Linked DNA regions of Alligator mississippiensis. The protein of the gene in region 2 interacts with the protein of the main gene of each other region in a pairwise test. Links are inferred from orthologs where the notes say so. Each region holds a gene or a part of one and is shown on either strand. Other genes may lie near its edges.

What was found.
Region 1: the proteins of APOA1 (region 2) and APOC1 interact in a two-hybrid assay, tested with the Homo sapiens proteins (2 studies listed by BioGRID, with this or other methods). The link is inferred for Alligator mississippiensis from reciprocal best matches to the Homo sapiens genes APOA1 and APOC1.

Annotation. Positions count from the first base shown.
Region 1 is NC_081838.1:31,178,549-31,182,444, reverse strand, and holds APOC1 (apolipoprotein C-I), read right to left. Parts: upstream 2,340-3,896; 5' UTR 2,316-2,339; intron 1,823-2,315; 5' UTR 1,801-1,822; coding exon 1,746-1,800; intron 951-1,745; coding exon 800-950; intron 571-799; coding exon 510-570; 3' UTR 381-509; downstream 1-380. UniProt on the Homo sapiens protein: Inhibitor of lipoprotein binding to the low density lipoprotein (LDL) receptor, LDL receptor-related protein, and very low density lipoprotein (VLDL) receptor.
Region 2 is NC_081839.1:34,260,046-34,263,704, forward strand, and holds APOA1 (apolipoprotein A-I), read right to left. Parts: upstream 2,359-3,659; 5' UTR 2,274-2,358; intron 1,834-2,273; 5' UTR 1,816-1,833; coding exon 1,773-1,815; intron 1,558-1,772; coding exon 1,404-1,557; intron 1,252-1,403; coding exon 669-1,251; 3' UTR 578-668; downstream 1-577. UniProt on the Homo sapiens protein: Participates in the reverse transport of cholesterol from tissues to the liver for excretion by promoting cholesterol efflux from tissues and by acting as a cofactor for the lecithin cholesterol acyltransferase (LCAT).

The DNA.
Region 1 (3,896 bases), on a different chromosome or scaffold from region 2:
GCACACCCAGCGCCTGACCAGCTGGGCTGCAGCCTTGCGCCCAGTCCAGAAATGCTGACGGCAGGAGGGACAGGCTGGGTCCCCCCAGCACTGTCTGTGCCTGAACCGGGGTCGCCTCCCAGCAGCTCTTCCCACCATCTCACCAGGCTGGAGCGCCGCAGCCACGTGCATGCACACGTGTTTGTCAATCCATGTGCTGCACCACCCATGCAACAAGATTGCACACAGGGGTGGAGCCAGGTGGGCATGGGAGCCTGGGGCTCGGCCCCACATGCATGTGCACGTAGCAGAACCATCCAGGATGGACAGGGAGGGGTCCGAGTCCTCCATTGTGAAGGGGCAGGCAGTACGCAGCAGGGGAGACTGAGTGGATGCCGGGATACGAAGGCAGCAGTGCTTTAATTCATGGCTACACAGCAAGGGCGGCAGGAACAAGGCCACCAGTGAGATACTGGGCATGGCTGGGGGCTGCCTGGAGACCCCCATTCCCCCACTGAATCAGGCCAGTCCTAGGCAAACGTGTCCTTGAGCTTCTCCTTCACCTTCTTGAAGTGCTCAGAGAACCAGTTCCTGCCAGGCAAGGGACAGGGCATCAGCACAGGGCATCAGCGGGTCCAGCCCCTCCACCGCTCTCCCAGCTCCCTGGGGAGCTGGCAGACCCGCAGCACCAGCCCCTCTGAGCCAGGGCCAGGATTGGCGTCACCATCCACCTCAACTTCGTTAAGCCTTCCCCCTCCACCAGGCCCAGCCCCAGGGAGCGGAGAGAGGGTCAGGGCCCCACAGCCGCCCGCCTGCTCACCGGGTCTTGGTGCTGAACTCGCTGTCATGCAGCTCCTGCAAGGCTGCCTTGGTCTTCTCCCCAATGTTGTCAGCGAAGACCTTCACATTCTCCTTGAACTGCTCCAGCTTTTGCATCAGGGTCGGCTCCCCTGGCTCCGACCGGGCAGAGTCTGTGGGGAGGAAGCATCAGCTGGGTGTGCCTGGGCAGGGTGGAAGTGAGGGGGGCCTGGGCAGGATGCCTGCCTCGACCCTACCCAGCCCCCAGAGCCGGTCACTGGATACCAGTAAAACAAGGGAGGACATACACGGTCTCCTCTGCTGTGTCACAGCCTGGGCACGGAGCCTGCGGAGAGCAGCACTGGCTGTGCCAGGCTCGCGCAGTGCCCAGCGGAGATTCTGGGAGGCAAGTGCCAAGACAGATGTGCCCAGGTGGGGGTCTCCCAAGGCAGATGGCAAGTGCACGTGCTCCCCCCCTGCCCCCCCAACCAAATTCCTGCCCCATGGACACGTGGGTCTCCAGACTGCTGCTTGACACACAGACACCCATGGCACATGCTTGCACACGCATGCACGTGCACGTGAGGCAGCTGGGGCTGGCAAGACTCCAGGCATCTGTCAAGTGATTGATTTCCTTGGGCACACCAGGGCGGCTGTGGGTGCCTGAGCGCTGCAGACTTGCAGCAGGCACCAGCCCTGCCCCGCAGGGGAGACAGCAAGATGCGATGCAACGCGGCGCAACACGGCAGGATAGGACACGCGTGTTATATGAAGTACAGACAACAAAGACTGGTCAGACATGTCTGTCCGCTTCCACGCACCTGCCTTCCCTCCCCCACTACTTCTTATGCCCGTGCAGCCCCTGCCTGCACACGCATGCTCCTCCAGGACACACGCACATGCATGTGCAGATATGTGTGCACACACACACACATACACCATCCCAGGGACCCGCTCCAGGCTCCTACCTGCCAGGACCAGCAGAGCCACAAGGGCCAGAGCGATGGAAACTGCAGGCCGCATCGTCCCTGGGGTTGGCTGCAACCTGTGGGGATGGGGGGCAAAAGGGAGGGTCACCTGGAGCCACACTGGGGGGGCGAGACGGCCCCCATCCCCACCGTGCCTCCTGCTGGGGCCCCATTCCCATCTCCCAGCAACTCCATGCCCTGCCAGGACCCCCACAACCAGCCCTCAAACCCCACAGAGACCCCCACCCTGCCTGGGCCTCACTCTTGCCCCCTGCCCTCCCTTCAAGGATCTGACCAAGCCCCAGCCCTGTGGGAACCCACTCCCCAGATCAGCCCCTGCACAGGGGGGGCTGCAAAACCACCCCCAAAACCCCCATGCCCCCCCAGCTCCAGCCCAGGACTCCCCTCTCTGCCCCCCCCAGCTCCAGCCCAGGACCCCCCGTCTGCTCCCCCCAGCTTCAGTCCAAGACCCCTCTCTCTGCTCCTCCAGCAGCAACCCAGGACCCCCCTCTGCCTCTGCCCCAGCCCCAGCCCCAGCTGCAGCCCAGGATCCCCCCCCCAGCCCCGCACACTTGCTGCAAGCTGGAAGGAAGCAATGGCTGCAGCCCTGCTCCCACGCCCTATAAACCCTGCCCTATAAACCCTGCGCCGCCCCCGCCCCACAGGGGGGGAACCTGACCCCCTTTCCCCTCCCTCCTTCCCAAGGCCTCTTAATTGGGAGGTTGCTGGTCCAGGAAACCAGATCCCAGCAGGGTGTGCGCGCACTGGTGGGGGGGGAGGGGGGAATAGCTGCCTTTAACCCCCAAGTGCCCGGGCAGGGGTGGGGGGGGCTCGCTGGGGCCCAGCCAGCGCCTGCCCTGAAGCGGGCAACAGCTTTGCCCAACAGCTTCACCCCGTGCTGCTGCACAGAAAGGGGCTCCCATGAGCAGGGAGAGCTACCGCCCGGGACTGTGGGGTGCATCCACCGCCCCCCAACTCCCACCATCGCACCGACACGCACCCAGCACAGGCCGGAAGTGGTCCTGGGCCTGCCTTCCCCCCCCAGCAACTGCCCCTGCCCGGAAGGGGCAGAAACAGCCGGTGCCCCTGTCCCTTCCCTCCAATGCACCCGGCTCCCCCGGCCTGGTCCCACAGCTGCCCAAGCCCTTGGGCCAAGGCCAAAGGCACCGGAGCAAGGGTCGCACCAAGGGGGGCACCGCGGGGAGCTGGCCTGGCCGCAGCCCCTGTTTACCCGGGGAGGCTGTTTGGGTTGGACAGGGCCCTGGAAAACACCCACACAGAGAGCTGGTGTTTTTCCATGGTCCAGGCCCAAGGCTGCAGGGCCATGGGGGGGGTCTCCTCCTTGTACTTGGGGAATGCAACCCCCAGCCCAGCTTGGGCACCCTCCGATCTGGGGTCTCGGCCTCCCCTGCGGGACCCCCAAGGCTGGGCCCCTGGGCCCTGGCTGTGGCTGCGAGGCAGCGCTGGCACGGGGTTACGCGCGTTCAGGCCGCCCCAGGCCTGCCCGCCTCGGGGCACTGACCGGCAGTAACCCCCTTCCTCGCAGGGCCCCCATGGCCAGCTCCTTGTTTCCACACAAACATCCCCCAGCTGAGCTGAGAAACGCTTTGTTTTGCCAGCGCCGCGGCCCCCCCAGCCTTCCCCGCGGTTTTCTTCTTCCAGCTTGAGGTTTGGGTTGTGAAAGCACCGGGACCAGCTGACCGGCTCCTCCGCCAAGCCAGGCCAGGCCAGGCCAGCCCGGGGGCTGCGTTGCAAAACAAAGGCTCCCGGGGAACAGCTGGTGTCAGCACTTGCCAGGACCAGGCTCTGGCTCCCGAGCTCGGGGCCTCGGGCCGCGTGCTCCCCTCCCAGCCCAGCTGCACCCCATGCAAACAGCCCTGGCCCTGAAGCCTGTTGCAAAGGGGCTTTGTCTGGCGTTTGCCACTGGCTCCTTCCCCTTTGTCCAAGGTCCTCAGAAGAGACCAGGCCTGGCCCGGGCCACGCGAAGCACCGAGAGCTGGAGCAGCTGTGTCCAGCTCAGAGCCTCTCTGCCCAGCTGCTGATGCCCGGTGCCCGCACTCACACCCCATGTGCTCGCTCGCTTGCCAGACCCCTCTCTGCAGCCCCCACCCGTTCCCAGCGCCTACGATGGGGCTAAGCCAACACCCAGGG
Region 2 (3,659 bases):
GAGGACACAGGAGGCGATGGGCCGGGATGCTGAGTGCGTGCTGACCGGGGGCCCCGCTCCGGCTGCCCTGCGACCCGTGCACGGCCCAATCCAGCTCCCGGACTCGACACTGTCATGCCTGGCACCCAGCACAGCCCCTCCCTCAAAGCCCCACTTTGGAGCCCCCCCGCATGGGGGGCATCACCCCCACTGCACCAGGCTGCCCTCCCCACCCCCACCTCATGCTGCCCGGGAGGTGATGGGGGCCCGGGGCTCGGGACACCCCTGGCAGCCGGGGCAGCGGGTCCTGGCGTCGCAGCAGAGCTGAGCTGAGCTGAGCCAGGCACCAGACAGGCCCCGCTCTGCAGCTGCGAGGGGAGAGGAGCCAGGCAGGGGTCTCAGGGTCCCTCAGCCGCGCCGGCTGCAGGAAGCAGGTCCCAGGCAGCGCGGGCGCAGCCGGGCACGGACGCGGTGCAGCAACCCCCCCGCTCCATCCCCTGGCTCCGACACAGGCACAGAGCCCAGTGCTGCGCCCCTCCACCCCTCTGGCCACACACAACCCCCCACCTGCCCCGCAGAGACGCACCGAAAACACTGATAACTTAAAGCAGGTTTATTGGACAAAGCCAGAGGATGCACTGCCTGGGGTGGGAGCAGATGGCCCCAGAGGCAGGGCACGGGCCCGGGGCTCAGGACAGGGTCTTGCGGGCCTCCTGGAACAGGTTCAAGAGGTGGGTTTTGATGCTCTCGGTGTAGGGCTTGATGCTCTCCCTGAGGTCCTGCACCAGGGGCGTGACCTTCTCGCGCAGGTTGCTGAGGTGCTGGACGGCCTGGTCCCGGACGTTGGAGGTGTAGGGGAGGCTCTCGCGCAGCTTCTGCATCTTCTGGGTCAGCTCCTCCTTGTAGGGCGCCAGGGTCTTGCGCAGCTTGTCCACGTGCCCACGCATCCGCTCCTGCGCCTCCTCTGCCAGCGGCGTCAGCTGCTGCTGCAGCAGCTCCAACTTCTGCCTCGACAGATCCTTCACATTGGACACCACGGGCACCAGCTTCTCCCTGTACTGGTCCACCTCGGCCCCCCATTGCTGCGCGAACTGCTCCAGGGCGGTCTGGAACTTCTGCCGCACCTGCTCCAGGTCCTGCGCCACCTCGCTCTGCAAGCTCTCCGTCTCCTTGTCCCACGCATCCCGCATCTCCTCGTAGTAGGGGGCCAGATCCTCCTTCATCTGCACTATCGTTGAGCTCAGAGAGTCCAGGGTGTCGCCCACTTTCAGGCTGGGGGGCAAGATGGCACCAGGTTACGAGCTGCTGGGGATGCCCCCGTGCGCCCACCTAAGCCACCACGGCCCGGGGCTCAGGAGGCTGCTCCCAGCAGCGTGCGACTGAACTCCCCAGGCCCCCCCCAGGCCCCGCGGTCAGGCACTTACTCCAGTTGCTTGCCCACTGCCGAGGCATCGAACTGGGCCACGACTTCCTTGCCACTGGCTTTCATGGTCTCCATGTAGACGTTCAGCATGTCCTTGAAGCGGTCCAGGCGCGTCTGGGGGTCATCGTGCTGCCAGAAGTACCGAGCCTGGGTCCCTGCGGGGTGGGGGGAGAAGGCAAAGGGCTCAGGACATGCCCGGCAGCTTGCCCCGCAGCGCTCGAGGCGGGGATGCCTGCCCGCACCAGCCTGGGCTTGCAGGGGCTCCCGAAGCCCGAGGGCAGGACCCCACGGGCCGGCCCTGCCCGGTATCGCACCCAGGCTGCCCAGGACTCTGTGCTCCGGGGCCGCCCCGCGCCGGGTTGGGGCTCACCTGTGAGGAACACCAGGGCGAGGGTCACCACAATCGCTCTCATCCTCGGCTGTGTCTCGGGCTGCGAAAGACAAGAGGGTTTCCTGGGTGAGCACCTAGGACTCTGCTCCAGCCAGCCTGGAGCCCGGCCGGGGCCAAGGGGAGTCGGGAGCAGATGCCCGGATGGGGTGCCCCCTCCACCGATGGAGGTGCCCCAGTAGCTGTGATGCCCCCACCCACCCCAGGGTCCTGCTGAGCTGCTGGCGATCCCGATTCTGCAGCTGATTTTATTCTCGGGGTGGGCTGGAGGCAGCTCCTTCGTCTCCCGCAGCAAGAGTGAGGAGAGCAGGCAGCTTCGGGTGCAGATGCCCTGGGGTCTCCCCTCGCTCGTGGGCAGAGGTGAGCAATGGGCTGAGCCTCTGGGGCAGAGATCGTGCCCTGGCACCGGTGGGGGCTGCGCTGAAGATCCAAGGGGAGCGCGGCCGGAGTGGACGCAAGGGAAGGATGGGGTCGGGGTCTCACCAGTTGTTCCTGCTGCTGTTGCTGCTCCGGCGGCTCTGTGAGGCTCCTGCTTCCTCCGGCTGCTATTTATGGTGCAGGGGGCAGTGCTTGGCGAGATAAGCGGAGCCGCAGCCCAAGGAACCCTCCCAAGTCCCGACGATGTGGCACGGAGAGTTCAAGGATCGAGCTGCCTCCACGCGGGGCCAGGCAGGCCAAGGAGCAGCACCTGGCAGGACAGCTGGAACAAACAGGAGCGGGGCAGGGGGCCTGGCCTGGCCTGGCCTGGCCGTGCTCGGAGGGACCCCGATTCTCCTGCCAGCCCCGGGCTTGAATGCGAGCCGGGGACTGGGTTTGCATCCTCGGGCATTCGACACCACGAGGCTATGCTCTGGGCCACGGCTCCCAGCCATGCCCTGCCCGGTGCTCAGGTCTCCCTGCGGCGCCCCATGGCCAGCTGCATGCTCCTTCCCAACACGTGCCGAGTCTCCCCCCAGGCTGGCAGCACCCGGCTGCCAGGCCTCGCTCCTTCCACAGCGCCGCTTGGGTCCTGGTCAGGGCCAGGTGCTGCGAGCCAGCCAGCGGAGGATGAGCAGGTGCCTGGAGCAGCCGCTTTGTCCACCTTCGCTCTGCCCGCGGCTCCCAGGCCAGGGAAGAAGCGGCCCGGGCGCTGCAGGGCAGGACACTGCCAAGGGAACGGCCCCCCTCCAACGCTGCTCATCTGGAAGCGAGTAGGACAGAGCCCGGGGCCACCTCTTGGGCATCTCCCCCGGGATCATCTCCATCACTGAGCTTTGCCCCAAGACGGGCGGTCACGGAGGAGACGCTGGGAAGGCCCCAGGCAACAGGCGCTGCCCAGCTTGGCGCTGCCAGGGAACAGGGAAGCCTGGCAGGCCAGGAGTGGGTGGAGGCCTGGGCTGGGGTGGCTCAGGGCACTGCCACACTGACCACAGCAGCAGCAGCTCCAAACCCAGGGCAGGGAGGCGAGGGAGAGAAACCAGGAGGAGCGGTGGGAGCAGGCACTCTGGTATCCCCTGGACCCGCTGCCCCTGGGGGCTGCAGAGGCCGGGGAGACGGTGCCCGGCAGTGCTGCCCGTGCCCGCACGGCTCCTTCCCCAGAAGCAGGTACCAGCTTTGGGCAGAAGGCAACAATGTGAACTGCCTCCACGCGCCAGCCCTCTGCGGGCACCGAGGCCGAGGCCCTGCGCCCCAGCCTACGAGACCTGGTCTCGCACGGGATGTCTGTTCTTTGCAAAGAGGGAGCAGAAGGGACCTGCCAAGCCCCCGCTTCTTCCCCAGCCGGCGCCTTCCAGCGCTTCGCCTGGCTCGCAGCATCCTGGCGGCGCTGAGCTCGCGTGGTGCCGTGCTCAGCATGCCGCGCTTGCTTTCTGCTGGGCATGGCAGAGAAGG